Linked DNA regions of Macaca mulatta. The main gene of each other region encodes a partner of the protein of the gene in region 4 in a complex. Links are inferred from orthologs where the notes say so. Each region holds a gene or a part of one and is shown on either strand. Other genes may lie near its edges.

What was found.
Region 1: LSM6 (region 4) and SNRNP40 share a complex: the UniProt entries of both Homo sapiens proteins name them as parts of the U4/U6-U5 tri-snRNP complex. The link is inferred for Macaca mulatta from reciprocal best matches to the Homo sapiens genes LSM6 and SNRNP40.
Region 2: LSM6 (region 4) and LSM7 share a complex: the UniProt entries of both Homo sapiens proteins name them as parts of the precatalytic spliceosome. The link is inferred for Macaca mulatta from reciprocal best matches to the Homo sapiens genes LSM6 and LSM7.
Region 3: LSM6 (region 4) and TXNL4A share a complex: the UniProt entries of both Homo sapiens proteins name them as parts of the precatalytic spliceosome. The link is inferred for Macaca mulatta from reciprocal best matches to the Homo sapiens genes LSM6 and TXNL4A.
Region 5: LSM6 (region 4) and PPIH share a complex: the UniProt entries of both Homo sapiens proteins name them as parts of the U4/U6-U5 tri-snRNP complex. The link is inferred for Macaca mulatta from reciprocal best matches to the Homo sapiens genes LSM6 and PPIH.
Region 6: LSM6 (region 4) and USP39 share a complex: the UniProt entries of both Homo sapiens proteins name them as parts of the U4/U6-U5 tri-snRNP complex. The link is inferred for Macaca mulatta from reciprocal best matches to the Homo sapiens genes LSM6 and USP39.
Region 7: LSM6 (region 4) and LSM3 share a complex: the UniProt entries of both Homo sapiens proteins name them as parts of the precatalytic spliceosome. The link is inferred for Macaca mulatta from reciprocal best matches to the Homo sapiens genes LSM6 and LSM3.

Annotation. Positions count from the first base shown.
Region 1 is NC_133406.1:209,573,255-209,576,854, forward strand, and holds part of SNRNP40 (U5 small nuclear ribonucleoprotein 40 kDa protein), read left to right. Parts: intron 1-708; coding exon 709-874; intron 875-3,600. UniProt on the Homo sapiens protein: Required for pre-mRNA splicing as component of the activated spliceosome. Component of the U5 small nuclear ribonucleoprotein (snRNP) complex and the U4/U6-U5 tri-snRNP complex, building blocks of the spliceosome.
Region 2 is NC_133424.1:3,071,144-3,075,448, forward strand, and holds the end of LSM7 (U6 snRNA-associated Sm-like protein LSm7), read right to left. Parts: intron 4,036-4,305; exon of another isoform or gene 3,877-4,035; intron 3,473-3,876; coding exon 3,401-3,472; intron 803-3,400; coding exon 660-802; 3' UTR 511-659; downstream 1-510. UniProt on the Homo sapiens protein: Plays a role in pre-mRNA splicing as component of the U4/U6-U5 tri-snRNP complex that is involved in spliceosome assembly, and as component of the precatalytic spliceosome (spliceosome B complex).
Region 3 is NC_133423.1:1,023,796-1,028,177, forward strand, and holds the start of TXNL4A (thioredoxin-like protein 4A), read left to right. Parts: upstream 1-1,498; 5' UTR 1,499-1,552; coding exon 1,553-1,705; intron 1,706-3,201; exon of another isoform or gene 3,202-3,314; coding exon of another isoform or gene 3,315-3,350; intron 3,351-4,382. UniProt on the Homo sapiens protein: Plays a role in pre-mRNA splicing as component of the U5 snRNP and U4/U6-U5 tri-snRNP complexes that are involved in spliceosome assembly, and as component of the precatalytic spliceosome (spliceosome B complex).
Region 4 is NC_133410.1:154,723,640-154,727,960, forward strand, and holds the start of LSM6 (U6 snRNA-associated Sm-like protein LSm6), read left to right. Parts: upstream 1-1,499; 5' UTR 1,500-1,559; intron 1,560-2,881; exon of another isoform or gene 2,882-2,985; intron 2,986-4,321. UniProt on the Homo sapiens protein: Plays a role in pre-mRNA splicing as component of the U4/U6-U5 tri-snRNP complex that is involved in spliceosome assembly, and as component of the precatalytic spliceosome (spliceosome B complex).
Region 5 is NC_133406.1:198,100,115-198,104,169, reverse strand, and holds the start of PPIH (peptidyl-prolyl cis-trans isomerase H), read left to right. Parts: upstream 1-1,165; 5' UTR 1,166-1,206; coding exon 1,207-1,272; intron 1,273-1,604; coding exon 1,605-1,669; intron 1,670-1,987; coding exon 1,988-2,011; exon of another isoform or gene 2,012-2,104; coding exon of another isoform or gene 2,105-2,130; intron 2,131-2,280; coding exon 2,281-2,325; intron 2,326-3,640; coding exon 3,641-3,683; intron 3,684-4,055. UniProt on the Homo sapiens protein: PPIase that catalyzes the cis-trans isomerization of proline imidic peptide bonds in oligopeptides and may therefore assist protein folding. Participates in pre-mRNA splicing.
Region 6 is NC_133418.1:38,747,900-38,751,499, reverse strand, and holds part of USP39 (ubiquitin carboxyl-terminal hydrolase 39), read left to right. Parts: intron 1-2,950; coding exon 2,951-3,086; intron 3,087-3,600.
Region 7 is NC_133407.1:152,980,418-152,984,739, forward strand, and holds the start of LSM3 (U6 snRNA-associated Sm-like protein LSm3), read left to right. Parts: upstream 1-1,437; 5' UTR 1,438-1,490; coding exon 1,491-1,511; intron 1,512-4,078; coding exon 4,079-4,189; intron 4,190-4,322. Other genes in the region: XPC (DNA repair protein complementing XP-C cells), read right to left, coding at 1,102-1,201. UniProt on the Homo sapiens protein: Plays a role in pre-mRNA splicing as component of the U4/U6-U5 tri-snRNP complex that is involved in spliceosome assembly, and as component of the precatalytic spliceosome (spliceosome B complex).

The DNA.
Region 1 (3,600 bases), on a different chromosome or scaffold from region 4:
TTGCTTACGCCTGTAACCCTATCACTGTAGGAGGCTGAGACAGGAAGATTGCTTGAGCCCAGTTGAAGACCAGCCTGGGCAACATAGTGAGACCTTGCCTCTACAAATGATTTTTAAAAATTAGCTGGGCATAGTGGCACCGACCTGTGGTCTCAGCTACTCAGGAGGCTGAATTGGGAGGATCACTTGAGCCCAGGAGGTCGAGGCTACAGTGAGCCATGATTCCAGCCTGGGTGACAGAGCAAGATCTCATCTCAAAATAAAAAAAAAAAGAAAGAAAGAAATTGTCCTCAGAGACAAAAGAAAAAGTTTGGTAAAGAGAGAAGATTGGAGTAACTCAGCTGTCGGGTCCAGAGTACCACAGTCTCTCTGATCTCTGCAGCACCAGGGAGTTATTAAACATTTCCAAGTGAGAGGGTGTCTTGTGTTTAAAATGTTACCTATCACAAAAGTGGAAAAGACAGAGCGAACTGCTACATTAGATGTATGTCATGGGGACTCAAAGAAGGGTCCCCCTTTTTTAAACTTCACAGGGTCAGATCTTATATCTGGACCTGAAGCACAAATAGGATTTTGGTAGAGTGAGGCATTTCAGCATCATGGGCAAACTGGCAAATCTTGAAAAATTTGGCACCTTTTGGCAAGTAGGAAAGATAGATTGTTACTGTTTATCTTCACTTCTTTTGTGTTCTTTCTCTTACTTTCTAGTATGCTCTTCTCAGCATCCACAGATAAAACTGTGGCTGTGTGGGATAGTGAAACAGGCGAGAGGGTTAAAAGGCTAAAGGGACATACCTCCTTTGTGAATTCCTGTTATCCAGCCAGGAGAGGCCCTCAGCTTGTCTGCACTGGCAGTGACGATGGCACAGTTAAGGTGGGTATTGTCTGTCTGTGTTCCAGTTTCTGAGGTGATGTAGTGTGAACCTTATCTTGCCTTTCCACTTATACTCTACCTTCCTCTGCAAAACTTAATTTTAGCAGTCATTTCCCATAACAGACACTTGAAATTTTTCCCCATTTAAAATAAAACATTTAATACGTGTTTTAATTACCCTACAGAATAATAATAGACCCATAGAATAAATTGTTACTCGAAATAGGCCTGGCGCGGTGTCTCACACCTGTAATCCCAGCACTTCGGGAGGCCGAGGCAAGCGAATCATGAGGTCAGGAGGTCGAGACCATCCTGGCTAACATGGTGAAACCCCGTCTCTACTAAAAATACAAAAAATAAGCCAGGCGCGATGGCGGGCGCCTGTAGTCCCAGCTACTCGGAAGACTGAGGCAGGAGAATGGTGTGAACCCCGGAGGCCGAACTTGCAGTGAGCCGAGATTGCACCACTGCATTCCAGCGTGAGCGACAGAGCGAGACTCCGTCTCAAAAAAAAAAGAACAGCGACAGTAATATGCGTGTCTTTTCAAGGCTGTTGTGAGTATCCCCACCAACAGGGAGGCAGCAAAAAAAGAAAAAAAAAAAAGGCTGTTGTGAGATTACAGACAATATATAAAAAGTTCAGTGAATGGTTTTAGTATAGCACAAGATGGGAACTTAAGCATCATTTAGTCAGATGGTTTCCAGCCTCTCTTTGTATGGTCATCACCTGAAGAACCTGTTAAAAATACCCAAAGAATCTAGTTCAGTGGATCTGCAATGGGAATCAGATATTTTAATGTGTCCTTCAAGTGATTCAGTGTAGCCAGTCTGACATTCTGGGAGCCACTGATCTCATTGAGCATCCTCATTTTATAAATAAGGAAACTGAGACCTAGAAATAATAACTTATCTCAGAGGCACACAAGGACACAGTACATCATAGTACCAACCATTTGATTATTTCTTTGACACGAATTTTGGACTCTGGTTGACATTTTAATTATTAAACAGTGAGGGACTTCAAAAGAGTACATCTGGGAGGCTGCAGCCCCATACTTATTGCTTTTTAAATGAATTAATGAATTTGCTTTTTTTTTTTCTTTGAGACAGGGTCTCGCTCTGTCGCCCAGGCTGGAGTACAGTGGCACGATCTTGGCTCACTGTAGCCTCTACCTCCCAGGTTCAAGTGATTCCCCAGCCTCAGCCTCTTGAGTAGCTGGGATTATAGGTGTGCACCACCATACCTGCCTAATTTTTGTATTTTCAGTAGAGATAGGGTTTCACCATATTGCCCAGGCTCATCTCGAACTCCTGAGTCAGAGCAATCACCTGCCTAGGTCTCCCAAAGTGCTGAGATTACAGGTATAAGCCACCACACCCAGCCAAATTGCTTTTTTTTTTTTTTTTTTTTTTTCCTTTGGAGATGGAGTCTTGCTCTGTCGACCAGTACAGTGGCGCGATCTCGGCTCACTGCAACTTCTGCTTCCCGGGTTCAAGCAGTTCCCCTTCCTCAGCCTCCCTAGTAGCTGGGACTACAGGCACCACACCACGCCCGGCTAATTTTTGTATTTTTAGTAGGGATGGGTTCACCATATTGGCCAGGCTGGTCTCGAACTCCTCACCTTGTGATCTGCCGCCCCACCCTCTCCCCGGCCTCCCAAAGTGCTGGGATTACAGGTGTGAGCCACGACACTTGGCTGAGATGTTTTTCTACTGAGTGATTTTCTTATACCTAATCACTTGGGCCCCTTGATGGTTGCATGGGAGGAGAGTCTGTGGTTTAAGATTGGTTTCTAAACCAGAGCTCTTACCTAGATGTCACTGTAGTTGGAGAGTCTTAACAGTAGCTGATTTGCTAATTGTCATTTCAGAAGATAGTAAGAGGTGGAAATGCCCGAGTGAATTTTGTTAACATTATTATTGAGGGCCTGCTATAATAAACATCTAGGAACTATTTAGGGAGTAGAAAAAGAGTGTATGTCCTTCCTGTCTTCCTTCTTTTGGTTTTTTGCTTTTCTTCTGCCTTAATTAAACATGATTTGGAATAGTTATTTTTACCGTGTTACTCAAGTTAATACTTTTTTTAATGAGCAATATGTCACATCACCTAAAGATGACTGCTTTTTAACCAGCTCCTATTTTTAATGTCAGTATATTTAAGACATCATTTAACAGCTTTTTGCAATGTACTTTTCAGTTACTTGTGAAGTTGGAATGCTTTGTGTTACTGTTTTTTTTTGTTACTAGGTTGCAAGTACAGGAATTGAATAACTTCAGTTTAAAAGAAAGAAAAGTCATGTTGCTTTTTACATGTCAGAGTGCTTAACAGAAAGCAAAGGTTTCCAACAGCACTTGCATTTTTAGTCTAAAAGTAGCGGTCTGGGCATTATTCATACAGATCGTTTTCAAACTTCTTATCAAGTACATTCTTCTAATAAAGTTAAGTGAAATACTGTGTGTATATGTGTATGTACTCATATATATATATGTATATATATATTTCCCTTTCATGAGCAGTTCAGTCCTAAAGCCAGTTATGTAGGCCAAAGCAGGGAAGGTGCTCTGGTTAGAGATGGGCCAAGGTGGCTCAGAGTGGAGTGTCAGAGCACAAGTGTGGTAAGGAGAGCATCCACACAGGGCAGGGCCGTACATTGTAGGGGGAGTAGTTAGAGAGTGAGGAAGGCATCCATACAACACAGGGTAGGTAACCAGTGTGGAGAATTTGA
Region 2 (4,305 bases), on a different chromosome or scaffold from region 4:
CCTCCTGATACACCCCACCCTCCTGATACACCCCACCCTCCTGATGCACCCACCCTCCTGATACACCCCACCCTCCTGATGCACCCACCCTCCTGATGCACCCACCCTCCTGATGCACCCACCCTCCTGATGCACCCCACCCTCCTGATGCACCCCACCCTCCTGATGCACCCACCCTCCTGATGCACCCACCCTCCTGATGCACCCACCCTCCTGATGCACCCACCCTCCTGATGCACCCACCCTCCTGATGCACCCACCCTCCTGATGCACCCGGCTCCTGCTGTCTCAGGGGTTGGCCTGGGGTTCCACAAGCCCCTCATCGGACTGAGGCTCCTGACTCGCCTGTCCCGGCCTTGCCTGTACCTGCCTTGGTCACCTGTGAACCCTCACCCCCAGGAAGGACCATGGCTGGTATTTGATGAGCTCCAGGGTCTGAGTCCAATCTCCAAGAATACAGGTTTCCTCAGAAGGTCAAGGGAAAAGCAAGATTCTGGGGCTCAAACACAATGAGGTTTGCAGTTTTATTAAGAAAACAAAAATTCAACCTATACAAAAAGGAAAGCACTTCCGTTCCAGCAGGTGGCACCGTGGTGGGAACGGCGGCCAAGTCTGTGGGGAACCAAGCTGCTCCGGCCTGTCCTGCAGCCCTGGCCCGGCTACGCGTCCTGCTGCTGGATGAAGGGGTTGGGGATGGCCTCCATGCCGTCCTGCGGGCAGATCAGCACCACAGACGTGCCCCGGCACACCACGAGGCCTAGCTGCCGGGTGTCCTCCGTGAGCTTGTACTGGTCGTCAGGGTCTGGGAAGGAGCAGACAGAGAGGGCTGAGGGAGCTCCAGGAGGCCTCTGAGAATTCCCACCGACACAAGACCCTCGCTCCGCCCTCCCCACCTGCACCCTGCGGGTGCCATGAGCATGTGGGGACCCCAGAGGGGGTGCACTCTGCGGGGCAGGTCCCCGGCTCCCATGGCTCAGACCCACAGCCCCTAGAGACCAGCGACAGCTCCACAGACAGCAGCCACAGCCTGCCCTCACTCCACAAACCACAGGAACAGGGAGGCCTGAGCGACAGCCGGCTACCCTGGGTCTTGGAGCTCACTGGAGCCCAGGCACCAGGGCTGGGGACCAGGTTATCAGATGGCCAGCCAGAATACAGGCACCCCGGGCCTCCTGGTCTCTGCAGGGTTCCTGGAACCCTAGGGGGCCAATTTTCACCCTATAAGAGGCTGGGGCCTGGGTGCGGTGGCTCACGCCTGTAATCCCAGCACTTTGGGAGGCCGAGGCGGGTAGGTCACGAGGTCAGGAGATTCAAGACCATCCTGGCTAACACGGTGAAACCCCATCTCTACTAAAAATACAAAAAAATTGGCCGGGCGCAGTGGCTCAAGCCTGTAATCCCAGCACTTTGGGAGGCCGAGACGGGCGGATCACGAGGTCAGGAGATTGAGACCATCCTGGCTAACACGGTGAAACCCCATCTCTACTAAAAAATACAAAAAAACACCCAGGCGAGGTGGCGGGAGCCTGTAGTCCCAGTTACTCGGGAGGCTGAGGCAGGAGAATGGTGTAAACCCAGGAGGCGGAGCTTGCAGTGAGCTGAGATCCGGCCACTGCACTCCAGCCTGGGCGACAGAGCTAGACTCCGTCTCAGAAAGAAAAAAAAAAAAAAAGCGGCTGGGCTGGGTGCAGTGGCTCACGCCTATAATCCCAGCACTTTGAGAGGCTGAGGTGGGCAGATCACGAGGTCAAGAAATTGAGACCATCCTGGCCAACATGGTGAAACTTGGCCTCTACTAAAAATACAACAAATTAGCTGAGTGTGGTGGCAGGCGCCTGTAGTCCATCTACTCGGGAGGCTGAGGCAGGAGAATCGCTTGAACCCGGGAGGCGGAGATTACAGTGAGCTGAGATGGCGCCACTGCACTCCAGCCTGGTGACAGTGAGATACTGTCTCAAAAAAAAAAAAAAAAAAAAAAGAGGCTGTTCATGTGGGTGGGACCCACGTGGGGATCATGTGGGCTGGCACCCCAGGGAAGTACCAGCAAGCCCAAGACAAGCTCTGAAGAGGCTGACGGCAATGAAAACTCCTCACTACTGTGGTCGTGTGCTGGTGGGGGCATGGGAGAACCACGGGGCCCAGGTTTTTAACATTTTTGTTTTAGAGACCAGGTCTTGCTCTGTCCCTCAGGCTGGAGTGCAGTAGCGTCATCCCAGCTCACAGCCCCAACCTCCTGGGCTCAAGCAATCCTCCTGCCTTCGCCTCCCGAGTAGCTGGGGCCATAGGCACATGCACCGTCATGCCTGGCTAATTCATTTTTTTTTTGTTTTTTTGTAGAGACAGGGTCCCAGTATGTTGCCCAGGTTGGTCTCAAATTCCTGGGCTCAAGTGATCCTCCTGTCCCGGCCTCCCAAAGTGCAGGGATTACAGGCATGAGCCACCGTGGCCAGCTCCAAGAATAAATCTTGTGTCAGTATCAATGGGTCCGAGGGGTAAGACTGTCTCTTTCTAAGTCCTGGCCTCCCCCCGATGCCTGGGCCGGGCTGGGGACTTGCAGCAGGATCTTCTAGCGGGGAGAGTCTGAGGACCTGGCGGCCTCACTGGGGAGGAGAGCGAGCAGGGGCAGGGAAATGAGGGAGTGTTCTCTGGGGAGGGGATGGGGGCCCTGCGTTCATAGTGGGGATTAACAAGGCAGAAGAGGAGAGGGGCCCGAGAGGGGTCCCACAGCACGCTCGCTCTCCCACAGCAAGGCTGCTCTCGGCTGGGTGCCACAGCTCACACCTGGAACCCCAGCACTTTGGGAGGCTGAAGCAGGGGGATGGCGTGAGCCCAGGAGTTTGAGACCAGCCTGGGCAACACAGTGAGACCTCAGCTTATCTCTTTTTTTTGGAGACGGAGTCTTACTCTGTTTCTCAGGCTGGAGTGCAGTTGCACCATCTTGGCTCACTGCAGCTTCCGCCTCCCGGGTTCAAGCGATTCTCCTGCCTCAGCCTCCCGAGCAGCTGGGATTACAGGTGTGAGCCACCGTGCCCGGCCCCTCGCGACACCAGTTTAACAAAAACTGAAATAATACAACATTTAAAAAGCCTGTCCTCTAACTGTGCTGCGAGCATTTTAAGTGCCCTGTCAGTATGTAGAGACCAGTGGGGAAGCTTCCCCGTCTCTCCAGGCCCCACAACAATGGAGTTTCCAGCTTTGTGAGGACGTCCAGGACCGGTGAGCGCTCAGCCCGTCCATCGGCCAACACAAGGCTTCACGTTGGTGCCTCAGAGTGAGGTTTTGTGGGTTTCAGGGAGGAAGAGGCAGCAGGCAGCTCCATGGCCGCCTCCCTTGCCCTGCTGCCCCCTCACCCCACTGCCCTCCTCATCCCGCTGCCCGCCTCAGCCACCGCCCCACTCACCTCGCATGTACTCAATGGTGCCGTCCAGCACAAGGTTGAGGAGTGGGTCGAAGCCCTTCAGGATTCCACTGGCTTGGAGAAATCACCGGGGGAGAGAAATGAGAAGGCATGAGATCCATCTTGGGTACACGGCCTGCCCCAGCGTGGCCCAGGCATGGGGCTCACTGCTTCAGGGATGGAGGACTGAGGGTGGGGGAGGGCTCCCGGGAGGGGCTGGTGACAGGCGCCTCCAGAGTGACCCCCACCATGGGCAGCCGACTGTGTCTGCGGGGGGCTAGAGGACAAACACTTCTGGCCGTGTGGGCCACAGGGTGCCGGTCACAGCTGCTGGCTCGGGCTGCCTGGGTGGAAGCAGCTTCGGTGATGAGTCCACGTGTGGCTGAACCGTGGCCAGTCAGCTCGACACACAGGCACTGAAACGGGAATTTCGTATCACTTCCACATCATGAGACAGTCTTCTTTTGATCCCTTTCCAGATATTTAAAAGTCATAAAAACAATTCTCCGCTCCAAAACAGTAGCAAAACAGGCCGCGGCACATGCATGCGGTGGAACCACCAGCCGGGAAGAGGAGCGAGGCTGGCGCAGGCCGCGGTGCGGATGTGCCTGAGGACGCGCCTGAGGACGCCACGCTCGGTGAGAGACGCCAGCCACAGAAGGCCGCGCAGCGTGTGATCCCGTTTCTATGAAAGGTCCAGGACAGGCCAATCCACAGAGACAGGGAGGGGATGTGTGGGTGCCGGAGAGGCGACAGGCAGTGACAGCTGATGGGGACAGGGCTTCCTCTAGGGGAGACGGAGTGCTCTGCTGGGACAGCGGTGGTGACTGCGCTGCCTGACCCGTGCTGGGTCCCTCAGTGAGTTCACGGAATACAGAAGAACAAATCCCAGCCCTGCAGCTCAGGGC
Region 3 (4,382 bases), on a different chromosome or scaffold from region 4:
GGGTTCAAGCGATTCTCCTGCCTCAGCCTCCCGAGTAGCTGGGATTATAGGCGCGCGGCACCACGCCCGGGTAATTTTTTTGTATTTTTAGTAGAGACGGGGTTTCACCATGTTGGTCAGACTGGTCTTAAACTCCCGACCACAGGCGATCCACCGGCCTCGGCTTCCCAAAGTGCCGGGATTACAGGCCTGAGCCACCGCGCCCGGGCATGATTTGTTGTCAATTTGTCATCCAAAGGACCACCAGGATGGCTGGATAGTAGACAAGAGTTTTACTGTCAATGTCAGTTTGCAAACCAGGGGGAGTCTCTAACATGAACCCAAAGTGCTCTCTCAGAAGAACAGAGATTAGAGGTTTTATTTTAAAAAGAGAAATATTATTTCTCTTGGAGAAAGTTCATAGGCACCAGTAAGGGTCTGGGGAGCGAAGCCGGGGGAGCCAGATCAGTCCTGGAGGTGCAAGTTATGCTGAAGCTATGCAATAAAACTGGCTTCAGGTCGGGCGCGGTGGCTTCCTCCAGTAATTTCAGCGCTTTGGGAGGCCGAAGCGGGCGGATCACTTGAGGTCAGGGGTTCGAAACCAGCCTGGCCAACATGGTTAAACCCCGTCTCTACTAAGTACAAAAAAACTAGCCGGGCTGGCGCCTGTAGTCCCAGCTTACGGGGAGGCTGAGGCAGGAGAAGCGCTTGAACCCGGGAGGCGGGGGCTGCAGTGGGCCGAGATCACGCCACTGCACTCCAGCCTGCGCGACAGAACGAGACAACGTCTCAAAAAAAATTTTTTTTCTTTATAAAAAGACAAAAACTCTGGTTTCGGGTTACAACAGGCAGCTCAGCAGCCGGCCTGACGGTGACATTCCTCAAGGACGGCCTGCCCAGTGCTTCCCCCCACCCCGCTGCTCGGCTCTGCCGTGGCTGGGTATGGCAACAACGACACATTTTTATGGTCAAGTTTCACAAATGACACACACGAACCGTCTCGCTAACACACAGCACAAACGATGACCCGAAACAGACACCAGAAAGGAAAAAAACGAGCCGCAGTGCCGGGCATGCCGGGCCTTTCTGAAGACGTCCCCATCCGTGGCTGGAGGACAGCCCGGGCGGCGGCGGGCGGCCTCGGGGCGGGTGCGTCGGGGCAGGGCACGGCGAGCCCGGGGCTTCTCAGGACCACCAGGCCGCCTGGACGCTGGGGAGGAACCCCCACTCCGACGCCGGCTAGGAGGGCACCAACCGCGCTCCACCGTGGCCAGGTCGCCGCCGCTCCCGCCGGCCAACGACAAGCTAGCGCGGCGTCTGTACGCGCGTGACGTCAGCACGCACGGCGCCAGCCCGTGCGCATGACGTCAGCACGCACGGCGTCGGTGCGTGCGCGCCCAGAGGTTCCGCCCGGCGGCAGTGCCAGCGGAGCTTGCGGGTGTGGGTGGGACCGGGTTTCGGCTGTGGGCCCGGGGGCGGCGGGGGCCGCGGAGTGAGGGGCCGGCTGAGCCCACCACCTCGCTGGGCCCTCCCTGGCGCCCGGCCTCGGGCGGCGGCGAGCGCGCGGGTCGCCATGTCGTACATGCTCCCGCACCTGCACAACGGCTGGCAGGTGGACCAGGCCATTCTCTCCGAGGAGGACCGCGTGGTCGTCATCCGCTTCGGCCACGACTGGGACCCCACCTGCATGAAGATGGACGAGGTCCTATACAGCATCGCCGAGAAGGTAGCGCGCCGGGCCCTCCCGCCCTGCTGGCTGTGCTTCCGCAGCGGCCCCGCGCCTCTGCCCCGCCGGCCTCGCCTGGGGGCGCGAGCCGTTCCCCGAGGAGGGGCCGCGGCGCGGTTGTCCGGGCGATTCCTTCCCGCGCTGCGGGCGAGCGCTCTCGGGGACTGTGCCGGCGTTTCGCGCCTTTTTCTGCAGGGAGCTCCTGTAGTTGTTCACGTTTTAAAGGGTTTATGATCCCCCTCCCCTCGAAGGAATTCATTATTTCTGTTGGTAAGGCGTTTTTCCCAATCTTACAGTGCAGTGAACAAAGTAACACTTGCAGGTTTTGAGAGCGCAGATCCTTAATTTAAAAGGATGCCCTTTTCTGGTGCCCTGTTTGTTTGTTGTATGTGTAAAGCAGAACTTTCATGTTAATAGCATAAGAAATCCTGTTTTTCTGTTGGTGTTTTCTTCCACCGCGCTTTTTGTAAGTCATGTGATTTATAGCTTAGAGTGATTAAGATGCAGAAAACATCGGGAGAAAATAGAACTATGCTTTGTTGGAACTAGTTTTCTGAATTTCTAATATTAGTACATTGAGTGGCCTTGGCACTTACTTGCTGACAATAAAAGTTGTGGGACACTATAACCAGGTTTCATTCTTTTTCTGTGGTTCCTCACAGCAATTTTAGGATGGCGTTTATTTAGGTTTTGCAGCTGTAGCAATAGGGCAAAGGGCACAAATACTAGGGTGTTAATAAAATATTTGCCATATTAATTTTCCGTAAGTAATTTGAGCGGTTATTCATTTTGATGAAGAGTAAAAGTAACATTGAAGCTATCTTTTCTTTCACAGATGCTAAAGTAGGCTGGGTTAAAATAACTCCTTTGAGTAAAGAGTAACAGATATAAAGACATTTTATATTGAGGAAAGGAAAGACTGTCTGGCCTGCCATTTATTAATTCTTGCTATTTCTTATTTAGTAGGAGAGGTGTGATGTTAGGAACTGTTGTTATATTTTAGTTATTACAAGAATCTCTTGGAGTGCTTACTAAAATGCATCTGTGATTCTGAGTCTATGGGTGTGGGGTGAAGTCCAGCAATGGCTTTTTAAAGAAGCCCCTCAGGGAATTCTGATGTGACCTGACCTTGAACCACACACTCAGAAACCCTTCCATGGGGGTCAGGGACAGAGGCGGAGTGCTTTATTACCAGCCATCTCCCAGCCTCTTCCTCTTGGACAGCAGGACACTGAGGACTTGAGGAGCTGCCTAGGGAATCAGGAGAGCAGCAGTTCTCTCACACTGGGGCTTCTGCCAGCCAGGGATTAGAGATGATGAGTGAGGCAGTGCCAGCACATCAGCTTTTCATTGCTTGACTTGTAGTGGACAAGGGCAGATACTGGAAATCCAGCGAAGAATTGACGAAGAGCAGTTTCCCAATAAGTAAATCACTGCTTGTAAATCACTGACTTTGAGTTACGAGTTCTAGAATCTTTCACTGTTCTACCTTGCAGGTGGTGGCATAAACATCAGCTGGTGTTCAGATCCTGCTGCCGGCAGCTCGAGGCTAGGATGGCTGGCGATGTGAGGGCCTTTGTCTCATCACATCCAGGCAGAGCTCAGCAAGATGCTCTTAGCTAGGAAACAGATTTTATGTGTTAATGTAAGTGTTAGGGTCTTTGCCAGATTTGCTCTTTTTTTCCAATTCCTTTATGTCCGATTTCTTTGTTATTACAGAATGAATCACTGTATCACTAGTGGACACACACTTAAGGACAGTTGAAATGGGCTCACTTTGGGGTATTTTTTTTTTTTTTTTGGTCTTTTAAAATAGTTTGATTTTTGTTTCTGTCCAAAAATTTGGATTGCTTTATTAATAAACTTTTAATGCAAATATTATAGTATAATTATTAAAAGCGCAAACCTAGGCCAGGCACGGTGGTTCATATCTGTAATCCCAGCACTTTGGTTGGGAGGCTAGTGTAGGCAGATCACTTGAGCCCAGGAATTCGAGACCAGCCTGGACAATATGGTGAAACCCGTTCTCTACTAAAAGTACAAATGCCAGACGTGGTGGCACATGCCTGTAGTCCCAGCTACTTGGGAGGCTGAGGTGGGAGAATCACCTGAGCCCGGGAAGTCAAGGCTGCAGTGAGCCATGATTATACCACTGAACTCCAGCCTGGGCAACAGGAGTGAGACCCTGTCTCCAAAAATAAGTGCAAACCTGAAATGCATTAAAAGACTATTCGTGTTTTATTTTCTTCTTAGTATATGGGCAAAATATGACTTTCTAATTCTGGAAGCTCTTTTGGGGAAACTCAACAGAAATTTTTGAAATGTAAGATTTTAGTATAAAGAACAATATAACTATTTAAAAATTTCCCTGTGCAGAAATGGCAGATAATGGAGAATCTTCCTTATCTTGTTAAGAGTCCTGTCGATGTCCCAGCTGTTTTAAAGTGAGTAACAGTTGCAGATGTTCGGCTGGACTTGATACGATTTTTTCCTGGATGTGTTGTATTGATCTGCTGCTTCCACAAGGCCCACTGGCCTCATGCTGGGTTAGAGCTGAGCTGTGAACTTCAGGAAGAAAGTTAGTCTGGAAACAGAGCTACACTTAAATATTTCACAGGTGCCTACAGTTTGCTAATAAGTGTGGGGCAATTCATTTGATAAAGTGATAATAATAAAG
Region 4 (4,321 bases):
AAACCCTGGGAAATATGGAAAATTGCCTGAGTTAGTAAAAGTCATTTATAAGCTGCTGAGGGGCTTTTGGGAACAGCTACAGTTTTTATAAACTTGTTAGCTCATGAAATAATTCAGGATGCCCACCCCGTGTGTCAAACTGGGCCCTTACCCAGCTACTGCCCTTGGAGAAGGCTGCAGCTGCTCTGCAGATGAACTAGGCCCTTAAAACTCCTCATGGCTCCCTACCCACCACGCTAGTGTTAACAGCTCAATTAGGGCTCTGTAGGAAAGGGAAAGAAGTTTGAATCAAAATTTTATTTTATTTTTTTTTTAATAATTTAAACAACCAGTAAGGAATGTGCAATTTGATGTCTTGCAAAGAAAGTTTTTAGGAACAGGCCTTTTTATCCTGTTATGTTTGTACTTTGCAAGTAATTATTTGATTTAAACAGTACTTTTCTTAAAATTTTTATTTATATTATATTTTATATTGCAAGAACTTCAAATACAGTCCTCTCAATAAATCAGTAACTGTTTGGTCTTTACCCAAACTGAGCTTTTATAGAAGGATATAAGGAAGTCTCTATTCTTTACCAAATCACATCCACTTGTTTTCTGTCCCTGATATCAATCAAAAGTTCATTTCTTCTGCCTTTAGCCAAAAGAAGGTTACAAGGGAGGAATTCTTTATCTCAGAAAAAAATTCTGCATCTTAGATTTTATAACACCTAATGGGGTTAAGGATCTGTGTTGGAAGATCTTATTGCTTTGTGTGTAGCGTTACAAACCATAAATAAAATTAAAGTAAGTTTTCAGCTGATGAGAGTAAAGGAATCAAGTCTTGGGGTAACAGTTCTCTTTTTTCCCCCTTCCAATCCCATTAATAGAAAGAGTGTTGAGAATTCATGCAAAATTCCAAACCAAGTTCCCATAGTAGCACTTAAATAATGTCTGCACACCATTTCCAATTGGAACAAGTTTTTAATGTAACACAATTAATGTCATTATAATTCGGAGTTACTTGAGTGATTTTAATTATTTTTTAATCAACATTGCCATGGAAACAGTCTCTTGCTAAAATGGCTTAAGTCTTCACACATTTAATAAATATCCAGAGGTAGATTTAAAGACTTGAGGTGTTTTATTTATTTATTTGCTTTAAACTATTCAAGGACGTTTCTGGGTACACAGTGCCGTTACTTAAACAGTAAATTCCAGTTTCCTATGACTTCAAGTTATTTTTTACACTTCTGCAAATAAATCCTGGACAAAAGATCACTTCTAGTTTCCTGGATTTTTGTTTTTGTTTTATATTATATTTGTTTTGTATTCAGATTTCTGTCAGAGGAACTCCAGTGCACCAATTTTGCTACTAGACAAAACAGGATTCTCGGATTTGCGCGCTTCGGCGCTGACAGGCTTTTCGGCCCCAGCGGGCTGCCGTAGCAGAGAAGAGCAGTGATTGGCCGAGGCAGAAAAGTGCCGCTGCCTCGGCGGTTTCGCTTTTGGCTGCGATCATCCGCGGAGGCCGGACTCGTGGGGCGCCTGGAGTGAGGGTTCTGGATCCCGCCCGCGAGGTGAGCCGCACGGCTGCGCGGGCCGATGACGGGGCCGGGCGTAGCCCCGGGTTCGACGCCCCAGTGTTCAGTCGCGCTGTGGAGCGGCGGCTGCAGCGGCCCTAGGCCGGGCGAGGCAGCCCCGGAAAGGGCCTGAGGGGAACGGGCTGGGGCTCCGGGAAGGGGCCGCTGAGTGGCAGCTTTCCGCGAAATGCCGCGTCCAAGCTCTCCGCTCACGGAATGGCCGGAGAGGTCTGATAGTGGGCGCCGGGACCGCCCTCAGCGAGGTGCTTAGACTGCGCAGAGAGTAGCGGCACCGTCCCGGCTCCCACCGAGTTGGCGTCCGAGACCAGTTGAGGTTGTTGAAGTTCCCCAGGGAGCCCCGAGGCTAATCCCAGGATTCGGCGGGAAAGCGGATCCCGAACCCAGGCCTAGGCTTCGCCAGTCTTCCAGGGCTTCAGGGAATTGCTAACCCTTCCCTACATCGGGGTGGCTGCGCCTGACCACAGGAATTAAGGACTCGACTCGCCTGTCTTACTGAGTTGTCAGGCCTAGGAACCCAATTGTATGGTCTTAAGTCCTATTGCCCGAGGTTTTCTGTGCGTTCGCGTGTCCGCGCGCGTGCATAGCAGGCGTTTTTAAGATGTGTAGCATTAGGATGAAGCGGATTACCCTACCCCACTGCTCTTAGTAATATGTGACTATTGTAGAAAATTGCAAACATGGAAGACTTTAGTGAAGAAATAGTATTCACAACCCTTTCACCTACAATCTTTTTCTCCTGTGTATGCTAGCTTCTACTTGAGCTAGGAGTGTACATGTTTAATCACTTAACAGTATAGTTTACCACTTCCATTTAAAAACTCTTCCTAAATATTATTCTAGTTTTGTATCTTCTTTTGATTGACTGTCCCTCATTGTGGATCGCAATGTAGGTCCCATAAATTATTCAGTCATTTCCCGATTGTGGGATATTATAGATTGTTTTTGAATTTTTGAATCTCTTAGCACCCCAGATAATACTTTGATAAACCTTTTCCCCCCTATTTTTTAGATTATTTCCTTGGACTAGATTCTCAGAAGTGAAATTATCAGATTAGATGCTTTCATCTGTAAGGCCTTTTTTAGGCCTTCGTACACATTGCTGCAGTGTTTTCCAAAAAAGTTTTTCAGGTGTTTGGCAATTTTACTTGCTTGAATATTGTACAGAAATCTTGAGAGGCTTATGTTTGTGGGTGTGTGTGTGTGTGTGTGTGTGTCACTGGAGTTAATGCGTTACTACCTGAATGTTAGGGCAGGAAGAGACTTAAGTGGTCATCTGGCATAACTCCCTTATTTTGCAGATGAGGAACCTGGGGCCATGAGAAGTGAAATGATGAGTTATCCAAGTCACACAGCTAATTAAGTAGCAGAGCTGGGATTAGAACTCAGGTTTCCTGCCTCCCAAGTGAGTACCCTGTGCTGCATCAGGCAGTCTCTCACTGAACTGTGGCATAGTAGATATTAGAATTTAAAAATTTGTTTACATCACCTGGATTATTCTCTCCTTTTAAAAGTGTACTAACAGATTAATGATCGGAGGGACCTGTAACACTGAGAAATTGGAAAGTGATTATTTTCATGGCTAAGACTAGAAATCCATTATTTAGAATGGCAACCCCTTCAAGATTTTGACAGTTGTTTTCAGGTTCCCTTTATGTTAGAATAAAACATCCCTGATTAATTATAATCTACACTCCATCATTTGGTTAGAATGTAGCTTTTGGTTATCATTTGCTGTACTTTGGAGATTTCTTTAAAACTCCTCACTTTAAAACCAAAGAACAATGTTGTTGGTGGTTTTTTTTTTTAGGGCTTATAGCGGAGATTCTCAGCTTCCATTGACATTTTGGGCTGGACAGTCCTTTGTTGTGGAGGGCGGTCCTGTTGTAAAATGTTTAGCAACATCCCTGGTCTCTACCCACTAGTATAGCAGTAGCACCACCTTCCTCAGTCTTGACAGTTCAGTGTCCCCAGATACTTCCAAATGTCCCTGAGCAGGGTGGGGTGGGGTTGGGGAAACTGCCCCTAGTTGAGAACCATTTGCTTAAATAAATTATCTGGAGAACTTCATAAAATGTAAAATACAGTGCTTTTACCTGAGTAGACTTCAGGAATCTGCATTTTAACAAGCATCTCTAGATTTGGAAACAGCTGGTTCTTGAATGACAGAAAGGGTTGTTTTCTCCGTCTTTGGTGGTCCTAATAGAGATTACTTGGTTAGTATTTGTTGAAGTACGTGCATGATCCTACTAGTCACTGTATCCATAGTTTGGGTTGGTGGGGGCTGGACAGGGATTTTGCTTGGCACTGGCCTTGAATGTCTCTTCCACAGACTTGGGCAGTGTGCTTAGGTACCAGGGATACCAAGTGAGTAGGATATTTCCCCTGTCCCCAAGGAGCTTAAAACTCACCATGGGAGACCTGTCAGCAAATGGAAAAATTACAAAGCAGCCTGATAAGGACCATGACCGAGAGTGGAAAGAGGTGCTCTGAGTGGACTCACTTCGCCTTTGGGAGAGAGGGAGAGAAGTAGCGCCTGCTGCTCAGGAAGGAGGGATTGGTATGAAGCCTTCACAAGACAGCGAGGCACTCCACTGTGTCAGAAGGGAGGACTTGGAGAGCTGTTCTTCTCCGTGTCTGATCGCCTCCTCAGACACTGATCTGTTAGTCTAGTGCTGCAGTTACTTGGATTGTAATGTTTCCTTGCAAGTTTTTGCTTTTCAAATTTTTTTCACCCTAAA
Region 5 (4,055 bases), on a different chromosome or scaffold from region 4:
TATTTACCTACTATGTGCTATTCAGTAGGAGACATTGCAGCTACAGCTGCGAACAGGACTGAGAGAGTCTCTACTTTCATGGAGTTTATATGCTATTAGGGAGGAAGATGTATGTGTGTGTGGCAGGAAATGAGGTGCAGACACATACCATACAAATGTGAAATGGGGGGTGGCATGAAGAAAACAAACCAGTGATCTGAGTGACCAAGGGCTACTTTAGATTAGGTCTAATGTTGCCTCTGAGGAGGTAACATCTGGGGTGAGCCCTGAACTACAAGGAGCATTACTTCCCACACACATAGCCCAACCAAACCCCACCATCACCCCGCCAACCCACATTAAGATCTGGAAGGAATATTTCAGACAGAAGAAACAGCTATTACAAGGCCTTAAAGAAAGGAGGGATCTCAGTGACCTGGAGGAGCAGACAGGTCAGAGCACAGTAACTAAGGGCAAGTGGTACAAGATGAGGTCAGGTAGGTAATAGCCAGATTAATGCACTGGAGGGCTTCCTATGTACAGAATTGGATTTTATTCTAAATATAGGAAGCCAGGAGTTATTTTAAAAATAAATAGGAATCACAAGAGGTATTTTAAAAATAAAAAATAAAAAACTCTAGTTACTCTGTGGGAAACGAATTGGAAATGACCAAACTGGGAGCTTGTGGCAGAACGGAAACATAATCTATTGTCCTGACTTAGAGGAAGGGACAAATATTTACTTAGCAAGCCTTTACGTGCCAAGCTGTTCTAAACGCTGAGGATGAACAAACCAGAGATCCTGCCTTCACGGTGTTCACAGACTAGCGGGCAGAAGACAGACACAGCACGTGTGGCGGTGTAGAGGGCTTGGTTGCAAGAGCCGATAAGGAGGACCCTGGCGACTGCCTAGTCCAAAAGCCCTAGCTAGAGCAAGATCAACTTGTACTGCCCTTAGTACAGCCACGTGAGTGGGGTGACCATCGACCTTAACCAAAAAGATGTCAAGGCTTTCCTCCTCCTCACTCCCGCGTCCCCCGTCTCAGGGAGAGTCTCCCAGCTAGACCCCAGCAGCCTCAGCACACACGGCACGGGGCGACAGCTTCCGGGGGCGGGGCCCGGTCTCTCTCGGCGTCCACCGCGCCTGCTCCCCGGACGAAACCCGCGGACAGGGCTTTAGGTTCGCCGGAATCCCACGCTCCCGACTTCTGCTTCCGGGTCGGAGCCATGGCGGTGGCAAATTCAAGTCCTGTTAACCCCGTGGTGTTCTTTGATGTCAGCATTGGCGGTCAGGTGAGATCCAGGACGCTACCCACACCTGCGCCGAAGGGAAACTGCTCGGGGCTAGCTAGGCAGGCAGAACTCACCCAGAGAGAGCGGACTCGGGAAGCCAGCCAGAAAGCGAAATTGCACCCGAACCTACCGACCTGCAGGGCGGGGAGAAATGAGGAGAAGTCTCCCCAATCCTAGCGCCCCGCTTCTGGAGGAACTGGGCGGTTAGACCAGAGAGGCGGAGGTGGGTGATACCGAGCGGCAGGGTGGTGGGTCAGCCCATCCTGCCCCCAGCTCCGTGAAGCCCTCATGGTCTTGGACTGGGCCTTCTGACAGTCTCCCGCTGATTGCAGGAAGTTGGCCGCATGAAGATCGAGCTCTTTGCAGACGTTGTGCCTAAGACGGCCGAGAACTTTAGGTAAGGACGTGCTCCAGTTCCGCTGGATTAGCTGAGGCAGAAGTCGGGCTCTAGTCAGCCGCCTGAATAGCCTGTCTACCTCTGTCCGTCCGCTCACTGCTCTTGAGACCTGATTCCTCCGTGCATTGCTCTGTCTGGTTGCCGTTTGGATTGTTCCCGTGTTAATTTACGTTGTTAGTCTGTACGTCTCCGTGTTTGGACGTCTGGCTGGCCGATTGGTGGACTTGCTGGCTCCATTGTTTATTCTTTCCCGTCTTTAGAGGCGGTCACGACTGTGATGTCATAGTGATTGAATTGTTCACTTTTTGTCCCTTTCAGGCAGTTCTGCACCGGAGAATTCAGGTCAGTTTCAGATGTGTTTGACTTCTTTGCCTGCTCCAGAAGGGTGTTCTGGGGCTGCGGTGAGGGTATCGGTGAACCAGCTGCTGGCCTTGAATGATTGCTGGTGACAGTGATAGAAGGTAATGCCCCAAGGGTCTGTCCCTAGTTTATTTGCCTTCTTTATGTCTGTCAACCATCTTTAGGAGAGTCCTTTTGGCTCCAGTGCATGGTAAACTGGAAAGGCCTTGTGCTACCTGCTATCACTCCAAGTCTCTTTCTTTTTGTTATAGAAAAGATGGGGTTCCAATAGGATACAAAGGAAGCACCTTCCACAGGTAAGGCTTTTGGCAAGCCATCCTAGAGTCTTTCAGAAATATTTCCTGGGGGATTAGGCTCTTTAGAGGAAAATAAAACCAGAGGTAATTCTTACATTTCTTAAGAAGAAATGTTTTTGTGGACTCAATAACTGAAGATTTATTAAATATTCTAACTCTACTTATACTCTCCCACTTCTTATGTCTTTAAAACAGAAACTACTCATCTTTACAATATCCTGTCTTTTTCATGCACTTGTTTGTGCAAATGCAGATTTTTAAAGAAGTACACTTGTAATCCTAAAGTGCATATAATATATCCTGCTGGTTGCTATTTATAACTAATTCCTAAAATGATCATATATGATTGTCCAAGGATAATCATATTTCCTGGGGAGTGGAGTATGGCAACACTTAGTCTCATTTCAATATAGAATCTTTCTCATGGCCTCACTGTGGTTAGTAACAATGTTAGCACATAATTATATCACAGCTTTAGAACTGTGGGTCTCTAATCCCCAGTAAGACTCCTGTGAAGTGGTATGTGTGATCTGCATTCTACAGAGGAGGAAACTGAGGATAACAAAGGTTAAGGACCCTCCCTAGGGGTAATAGCTAACAATTGTTAAGCCCTTACATGTGTAGCAGTACCTTTCACATAAATTCTCTGTAGTTCTTTGCCCCAAATTTACATCAAATCCTTGATCTGCCTTTTGCTTTGGCAAGTAATGTGGTCATTCTTCCTGCAGGCTTTCAGCCCCTTCTTCTTGTTACTGTTCAGGTACCAGATCATGCACTTGATCAACTCTAACATGCCCTAATTTATAACTAAAATCCTTTTTTATGGTTAATTATCCTTTCAGCTTAATCATTCCAGGAAAAGAATAATCTTCTTTTTTTGTTGTTTTGGTTTTTGGTTTTTGGTTTTTTTTTGAGACAGAGTCCCGCTCTGTCACCCAGGCTAGAGTGCAGTGGCATGATCTTGGCTCACTGCAACCTCCGCCTTCTGGGTTCAAGCAATTCTTTTGCCTCAGCCTCCCAAGTAGCCGGGAATACAGGCATGTGCCACCACGACTGGCTAATTTTTGTATTTTTAGTAGAGATGGGGTTTTGCCATGTTGGCCAGGCTGGTCTCAAACTCCTGGCCTCATGTGATCTGCCTGCCTCGGCCTCCCAAACTGCTGGGATTACAGGCGTGAGTCACCGCACCCAGCTAAGAATGGTGATTTTATAATAGCCAAAGTTATAGTGTATTTTGAAATCAATGTTAATCTAATACAATAATAACAAAGTCTCCATAAAATCTTCTCTCAGTATTCTTTGCTCTCTGTTTCAGGGTCATAAAGGATTTCATGATTCAGGGTGGAGATTTTGTTAATGTAAGTACTATTCCTTTTCTATCAAAGACCTGTAGTTTTAGTTTTTATTATCGTTGCAATTGCTGTTTTTACTACAGAGACCCAGTCTTAAGGCTTGAGAACAATAGCCAGGTTTGATGGGGGTGTTGGAGAGAATGGTGATGGGGAAGTTCTTGGAAGTGGCTAGGTACAACTGACTGTAGATAACAGACTTTAGCACTTTGATTGAGGCATTAACTTCCATGGTCCAAATCTCAGCCTTTTTGAGCCAGAAATTGGACTTTTTAAGAATACCCTGTAGATGATCTATGATAGGTTCACACTAATTGGTCATATGAAACTTAGTCAGAAATCAGCTGTGGTTTGTTTTTGTTTTTGTTTTTTTCTGAATGG
Region 6 (3,600 bases), on a different chromosome or scaffold from region 4:
TAGCGTTTAAGAAGGTAGTATCTAAAATTAAGAGGCCCGAGTTTTAGGCTGCCTTAGTGGTGGGCCCTCAGACCCATAGTTTGCATGTTTTCTGGGTATGTTCTCTCAAAGATAAAATGAGCAGCTTGGAGTAGATGGGCCTGAGCCCTCGGGGTTTGTCCAGGTGTAACATCTTGTTATAGTATTGCTAGGACTCTTAGAACCATGGAGGGTGAGGAGAGAGAACATTTGCCGTTGAGAATTACAGGGGAATTTTCTCTTTTCTCTTTTCCCCCACTTTTCTCCACTAACATCTTGTTTGTGAGACAGTTGAATTAAATAGGGAGACATGGAGGTTTGTTCTCTGCCTCCTTGAGTAGGATGGCAGAGCTGCTTTCTTTGAAAGTCTGTGCATCAGGGTTTTATTTCAGCACTAGCCTCTTGTGAATTACCAGTCATCTGTCTGTTCCTGGTAGGTAGGGGCAGTCTTGATTCCAAGGGCAGCTCCAGAGGGAGGAAGACTGTGTATCAATGATACTTCCTGCTCAGTTGCCACAGAAATTTCCTTGTCCCATTGTTTTCTTTTATGGGCCTAGAGTAGGCCCAGTATAAAAGTTTGTCCTTCAGAAAGCTTACTTCAGAGAAGTTAAGAGAAGACTTGGTTCTTAACTAGGCAGTCTTTTAGAGAACATCAAATTGTGACTAATTTTGGAAACTTGCACTTTTAAATATTTTATGTGCTGTAATTACTTCGAGTAATACGATTCTGGATCATTTCATCGTCCATACTTCTTGAAAAGGATCCTTTTCATACCTGTCTTCTCCTGTGATTTATTCATAACACATCCTATTTTTGTCAGAGTTATCAGACTTACAGTGATTAGGCACCCTCTGCTTATTTGGAGACAGATTTTTGAGGGCAGGTTTAAAGTTTCACTTTCAGGTAATTAGCCATTCTCTTAACTGGTCTGTTGCTGTGGCTGGGAGATGAGTATAGTTTGCTCTTTCAGGCTGGGTGCAGTGGCTCACATCTGTAATGTCACCACTTTGGGAGGCCGAGGTGGGAGGTTTGCTTGAGCTCAAGAGTTTGAGACCAGCCTGGACAATATAGCAAGATCTCGTCTCTACTAAAAAAAAAAAAAAATGAATAGTTTGCTCCTTTTCCTGTTTACTAAAACAAAATGATTAAACGTAGTATTTCTCTTTTGCCACATGGACAGTTTTGGTTCAGTCATGAAATCTTGAGTATAAAGACTTCTCCGGGCTGGGCGGGTGGCTCACGCCTGTAATCCCAGCACTTTGGGAGGCCGAGGTGGGTGGATCATGAAGTCAGGAGATCGAGACCATCCTGGCTAACACAGTGAAACCCCGTCTCTACTAAAAATACAAAAAGTAGCCAGGCGTGGTGGTGGGCACCTGTAGTCCCAGGTACTGGGGTGGCTGAGGCAGGAGAATGGCGAGAACCCAGGAGATGGCGCTTGCAGTGAGCCGAGATAGCACCATTGCACTCCAGCCTGGGCGACAGAGTGAGACTCTGTCTCAAAAAAAAAAAAAAAAAGACTTCTCTGATACTCATTTAGACAAGTCTAGTCAGCTTTTTTTCAAGCTGAAGAGAAAATGAGAAGTCAGTTTTTGGCAGCAGGAAGGCAGGTTGGCTATCTAGAGCTCACATGGACTGAGGACTCATACCTCCCATTTTTTTTTTTTGGAGATGGAGTCTCGCTCTATTGCCCAGGCTGGAGTGCAGTGGCGTGATCTCGCTTCACTGCAACCTCTGCCTCCCAGGTTCAAGCAATTCTCCTGCCTCAGCCTCCTGAGTGGGTGGGACTACAGGTGCATGCCGCCACACCCAGCTAATTTTTTTTTTGTACTTTAGTAGAGGCAGGGTTTCACCATGTTGCCCAGGCTGGTTTCGAACTCCTAAGCTCAGGCAGTCTGCCCGCCTTGGCCTCCCAAAGTGTTGGGATTACAGGCATGAGCCACTGCACCTGGCCTCTATTTTCTTAACGGTAAATGTTTATTGCAGTCTGACTGCATCATATATGGGACACTGTCAGTCTGTAGAAACAAATAGCTGTCACCAATACATAGGAAGCTACATATAATAATTACAACAAAGTTGTATGTTTGTTTATTACCACATGGTTTACATTTTAAACTCTGTAATTTGAAAAGTTAGTAGATTCACAGTCTGACTTCAAAGGGAGATCTATAACTGGACGTGACCACCATTAGCTGTTTCTTGTGAACTCTTCAGTAATAACATGGTTTTGTTTCATGTAATGAGTTGTAGCACATCAAACAACTTTTATGATGTAATATCTTTTTAATTTTACTTTGTATTGTTTAAGTTTTTATAAATATTTGTAGGCTCCAAAATGATATATTTTCCTAAAATTATGTGTTTAAAATAGTCTCTTAATAATCTTGTTAACTGTCTATATGTTTTCCTTTTTAACTGTTTGAAAGTTCTTCTTTTTGGGGGTTTTGTGAGACAGGGTCTCACTGTCGCCATGGCTGGAGTGCAATAGTGTGGTCCTGGCTCACTTTAGCCGTAATCTCCTGGACTCAAGTGATCCTCTCACCTCAGCCTCCTGAGTAGCTAGGACCACAGGCATGTACCACCATGTCTGGCTGATTTTTTTTTTTTTTTGTAGGGGTCGCACTACATTGCCCAGGCTGGTCTTGAACTCCTGGGCTCAAGCAGTCCTCCTACCTTGACCTCTCAAAGTGTTGGGATTATAGGTATAAGCCACTTCCTGTCATTTATTTATTTATTTATTTTTTTAGTCATGTGGGAAGCTGTGTAACCCTGTCATTCATTTTGGCATATTTTGTGAATTCCAACACAACTGGACCTTCTTGACTCTGCAGGCCTACCGAGAGCCTTTGTGGTCTGTTTGTGTAGGACAGCTTCCTTAGCTGCACAGCCTTTGTCTGATTATTCCGGCTTTATTTTCACCATTAACAGCAATGTGGATCTCAGAGAATACTTGTCTGAAGAAGTACAAGCAGTACACAAGAATACCACCTATGACCTCATTGCCAACATCGTGCATGATGGCAAGCCCTCCGAGGGCTCCTACCGGATCCATGTGCTTCATCATGTGAGTGGCTGCTGACCTAGTCTCATGGCACAGAGTGGCAAAAACAGGTGTTTCTTTGGCGTCTCAGAGGGCAGCTCCCTTCAGTTTGTCCTTGCTTGGCCTTGGCTTTGGGATTTTGCAAGTAATAGTGCTGTCAGTAGTTAGTTTAAGGCAGTGGTTCTCAATTTTAGCTACACATTGGACTCACCTTGGGAGCTTTTCTTTTTTTTTTTTTTTTTTTTTGAGACAGTCTCGCTCTGTAGCCCAGGCTGGAGTGCAGTGGTGTGATATTGGCTCACTGCAACCTCCGCCTCCTGGGTTCAAGCAGTTCTCTGCTGTAGCCTCCCAAATAGCTGGGATTATGGGATTACAGGTGCCCGTCACCATACCCGGCTAATTTTTGTATTTTTAGTGGAGATGGGGTTTCACCATTTGGCCAGGCTGGTCTTGAACTCCTGACCTTGTGATCCACCTGCCTTTGCTAATTAATACAAAAAAATTAGCCGGGTGCGGTGGCGGGCGCCTGTAGTCCCAG
Region 7 (4,322 bases), on a different chromosome or scaffold from region 4:
GGGTATCTGGGAAGGACTACCTTAGTTTGCTCAAGGAATGTCTGACTTGAGATTTGAAGAAATCATACCTGGCAAAAGCCATGGTGGGGGGTCACTCTAGGCCGAAGGAATATCAAAGGAAAAGGCTCAAGAAATAACTTGGCATATTTGAGGAAGAGAAAGGAGGCCAATGAGGAGGGTATCTGGCAAGGAAACAAGTGGTAGGAGAAACAGGAGAGGTAGCAAGAGCCAAAACACGTAGCATCTTGCAGGCCAGGATAAGACAACTGGATTTTAAACTAAGAGCAATGGAAAACCAAGGAGAGTTTAAAGCAGGAGCATGGCATGATTTTTTTTTTTTTTTTTAAAGATTATTTGCGTTGCTGGATGCAGAGCTGGGAGGCCAGTCAAGAGGAAACTGCAGTCACTCAACTGAAAGGTGATGGTGACTTGGACAGGGGTTGTGGCCATGGAAATGAAGAGAAGTGGACAAATTTGAAATACAGTCTGAGGCTGAACTGACTGGACTTGCTGACGGGACTGGATGTGTGCACATAAGAAAAAGGTGGACTTTGTTTTATAACAAGTATTGGGACTGGAAAAACGGAGGAAAGCATAGATTTGAAGGGGAAGACCATGAGCTCTGCACTGTCCACGACAAATGTAAGAAGCCTATCCAATATCCACGAGGGGAAGTCAGGTGGGATCCCACTGTGGAACTCTGGGCGAGACTCAGCTGAAGTTATCATTCGGGAGTCAGCACACTGCATCACTCTACGTCCTGGTCCGTCCGTCCGTTTTCCTGGGACACAAATAACTGCCTTCTCCGCGTTCAACCCTGAACATCTGCGCTGTATCCTCTGGACAACGGGGAGCGGGAAAGAAGCTACGCAGGAGCTTGGGTCGGGCGAGGCTCACGGGAAGCCGCTCTGGGTGCAGAGGACAAAGGCGCAGGGACAGCGGGGAGGGCCGGCCGCGGCCTGCCGTGCTGCCCCCACTGCGCGGAACGCGCGCAGCAACCTCCTCCCGGCCTCCGCGTCTGGACTCCCGCCGCCCCTGCCTCTGGGCCTCCTCCGCCCACCGGCAGAGTCTCCCGCGAAGCCCGCTGGGCCACGCTCTCACCCTCCTCCTCCTCACGCCGGGTCTTGCTCTTGGCCTTGGACTTCTGGCTGCGCGTTTCGCGTCCCCGCGGCTCCCCGCCGGCCGCGCGCTTCCGAGCCATATTGCTTGTCGGGGAAAAATCCACTTCGCGAGTGACGCACCAGGCCGCGATGCGTTAGAACGCAGGCCCCGCCCCGAGGCGGGCGCGTCTGGCCACGCCCCTTCGTTGGAGGCCTAGTCACGCCCCCAAAGGAAGCTCCGCCCCATACCCGTGGCCACTAAAAAACCGCGGGAAGCAGGCAAGAGCACAGCAGGTTTCTATTTCCGGTGTATTGTAGCATCACGTTTCCGGAGCTCGGCGTTGCTCTTGTGTTCTCGCGAGAGGCGGGAAAGGGCGCAGGGTTTGAAACATGGCGGACGACGTAGACCAGGTGAGTGAATTTTAAGGCGGTGGCTCGGCGCCGCTTCTTGTACTAAACTGCTTTTTCCAAACGCAGGAAAAATGGCCAGTCGCGCCTCTTCTTTCCAAGTCACACGGCCTAATCCGCCCCATCCTTTCCGTAAACACCCCTGTCCGAATTTTGCTGCAGGCCCTGAGGTCTTTTCCGTTAGAAGGCCACCTGATGACTATTCATCACACTCTTCGCTTTGTTTTTTTAAATCTGTAAATTATTATGCGTGCCTACCTCACGGAGCTGTCAGGATTCCAATAGAAAGCCAGATAATAAAGTTAGGAGTTGTTATTACTGAGCACAACAATTATTTACTCATTCAGCAGAGAGAGTGAACATCAGCTTTGTATGGTTAGACACTGTTCTAAGAGCCAGGGACACTGACATCGATATATAAGTGATCCTTGCCATGACTTGGAGCTTATATTCGCGAGGAGAACAGATAAATATAAATATGTAAGATTTATAGGAACTGTGATGTGCTATGAAGGAAACAAGGAACTGGTATGCAGAATAACAGATGGTCCTAGAAGCTTTTTCACCTGGTCTTTTTCTTCCTCAAATATCTTTGGAGATCATGCTACAACTTAAACTTTCTACTGAAATCTCACCTCCTCAGAGAGGACTTCTGCCCAAATAGCACTCCCCCTACTCTGCTTACCCTGCCTCATTTTTCTTCATAGAACGTTATTTTTTCATATTAAATGTATGCATCTTTGTTTAATGTGTATCTCTCCTGACTAGAATGTAAGTGCCATAACAGTAGGCATTTTGTTTTGTTCATTCTTTTGTCCTTGGGGTTTAGAACAGTGCTGGAAATACTCAACAAATATTTGAGTGAATGAGTTAGATGATCAGAGGAGGCCTCTTTTAAAAGCCAATGTATAAAGCTACAGGATGAAAAAGAACAGAAAGTGGGCATCCCAGACAGAGGCTTAGGTAGCAGTAGAGCTCTGTCATGTGCATATTCTTACAGTATTATAATTATTCATATGCCTATCCACATTAGAATGAGCTCCTTGAGGGTGGAGATTGTGACTTCTGTATCATTGTAATCTAACAGTTGGTTATCTGATCCTTTAACAAACACCTGTTGAACTGAGGGACATAGGGACCAGTTGAGTTAGGTTATTTTTTTTTCTCTCATCGGGCCTTTTGAATCTTTAGCGCCTGTTACGAATTCAGTTACCTTCCTCCACTGGCCTTGTGTACTTACTAAAGAAGCTCTCCTTGAATCATCTAACTCTTTAATGGCTGCAACCCTCCCTTCCATGTGGGTGACCCCAAGTCATCCTAGCCCTGACCTCTAAAACCAGTGTTTCCAGCAGTTCTTTAATAATATAATATTAGTAGGAATCTTTTCTTTTCTTTTTTTTTTTTTGGATGGAGTCTCACTCTATCGCCCAGGCTGGAGTGCAGTGGCGTGATCTCAGTTCACTGCAACCTCTGCCTCCTGGTTCAAGCGATTCTCCTGTCTCAGCCTCCCAAGTAGCTGGGACTACAGGCACGTGCCAGCACGCCTGGCTAATTTTTGTATTTTTAGTAGAGACGGGGTTCACCATGTTGGCCAGGCTGGTCTCAAACTCCTAACCTCAGGTGATCTGCCTTTCTCAGCCTCCCAAAGTGCTGGAATTCAGGCCTGAGCCACCACGCCCAGCCAAAAGGAACCGTTTCTAAGTATTAATATTTTCTGCTTTCCTGGCACTGTTTTAAATGCATTAACTAGTTTCATCCTCATAAGAATCCAGAAGGAAGGTTGTGGCTTTCTCAATTACAAATGAAGAATCTGAGAATTACAGATGGCATGATTTTTAATCTCAGTTCATAAGTGTCAGGTCACAGCCAGGAGTTGAACCCAGACTGCCTGACTCCAAAGTCAGTGCTTGCTTGCTTGTTGGCACCATCTTGGCTCACTGCAACCTCCACCTCCCAGGCTCAGGCAATCCTCCCACCTCAGCCTCGGAGTAGCTGGGACTACAGGCACATGCCACCATGCCCGGCTAAGCCAGTGCTTTGAACCAGTGTTCTATTCTGGCTACTAAATATTCATCTTACTGGCCAGTTGGCAGCCTAACCTCAACCTGTGCTGAATTCATAATCTTCCCATAAACCTACACCTCTACTTGGCATTCTGACTAGTATATGGTAGGCATTAAGTGAGTGTTTTTCCTATGATTACATAATATTTGAGATAAAGCTAAAGTTCCTAAGACCCTATACCCTGAAATCGGGTCAGGCAGTTTGGATTTTGAGGGAACAAAGTATAGTCATGATTATTTTGCTGTGTAACTCCTTCTTATGTATGCGTGTTTTAATCTACATTTATATAGCACATACTATGTGAAAAGTTCTGTTCTAAGCCTTCATATATGTCACTTAAGCCTCATAAAAACAGTATTAGGTAGACACTATTATCTCCATTTTACAGATTAGGAGACTGAGGCAGAAAAAGGTTAAATAACTTGCACATGGTCATACAGCATAGCAGTGATTTAAGCACTACTTTATCTCTAGTACTATATTACTAAACCTGTTTCTGTTATCAGCAACAAACTACCAACACTGTAGAGGAGCCCCTGGATCTTATCAGGCTCAGCCTAGATGAGCGAATTTATGTGAAGATGAGAAATGACCGAGAGCTTCGAGGCAGATTACATGTGAGTAAATTTATCAAGTTACCTTGAAATCAGATTCCTTCCCACCCCCACTCCCTTGAAATGTAAAACCTGTCCAGAGTGAAAAGGTATTTTGAAGGAAGAGAGGGTAGTGGAAAATCACCCATGTTTCCAT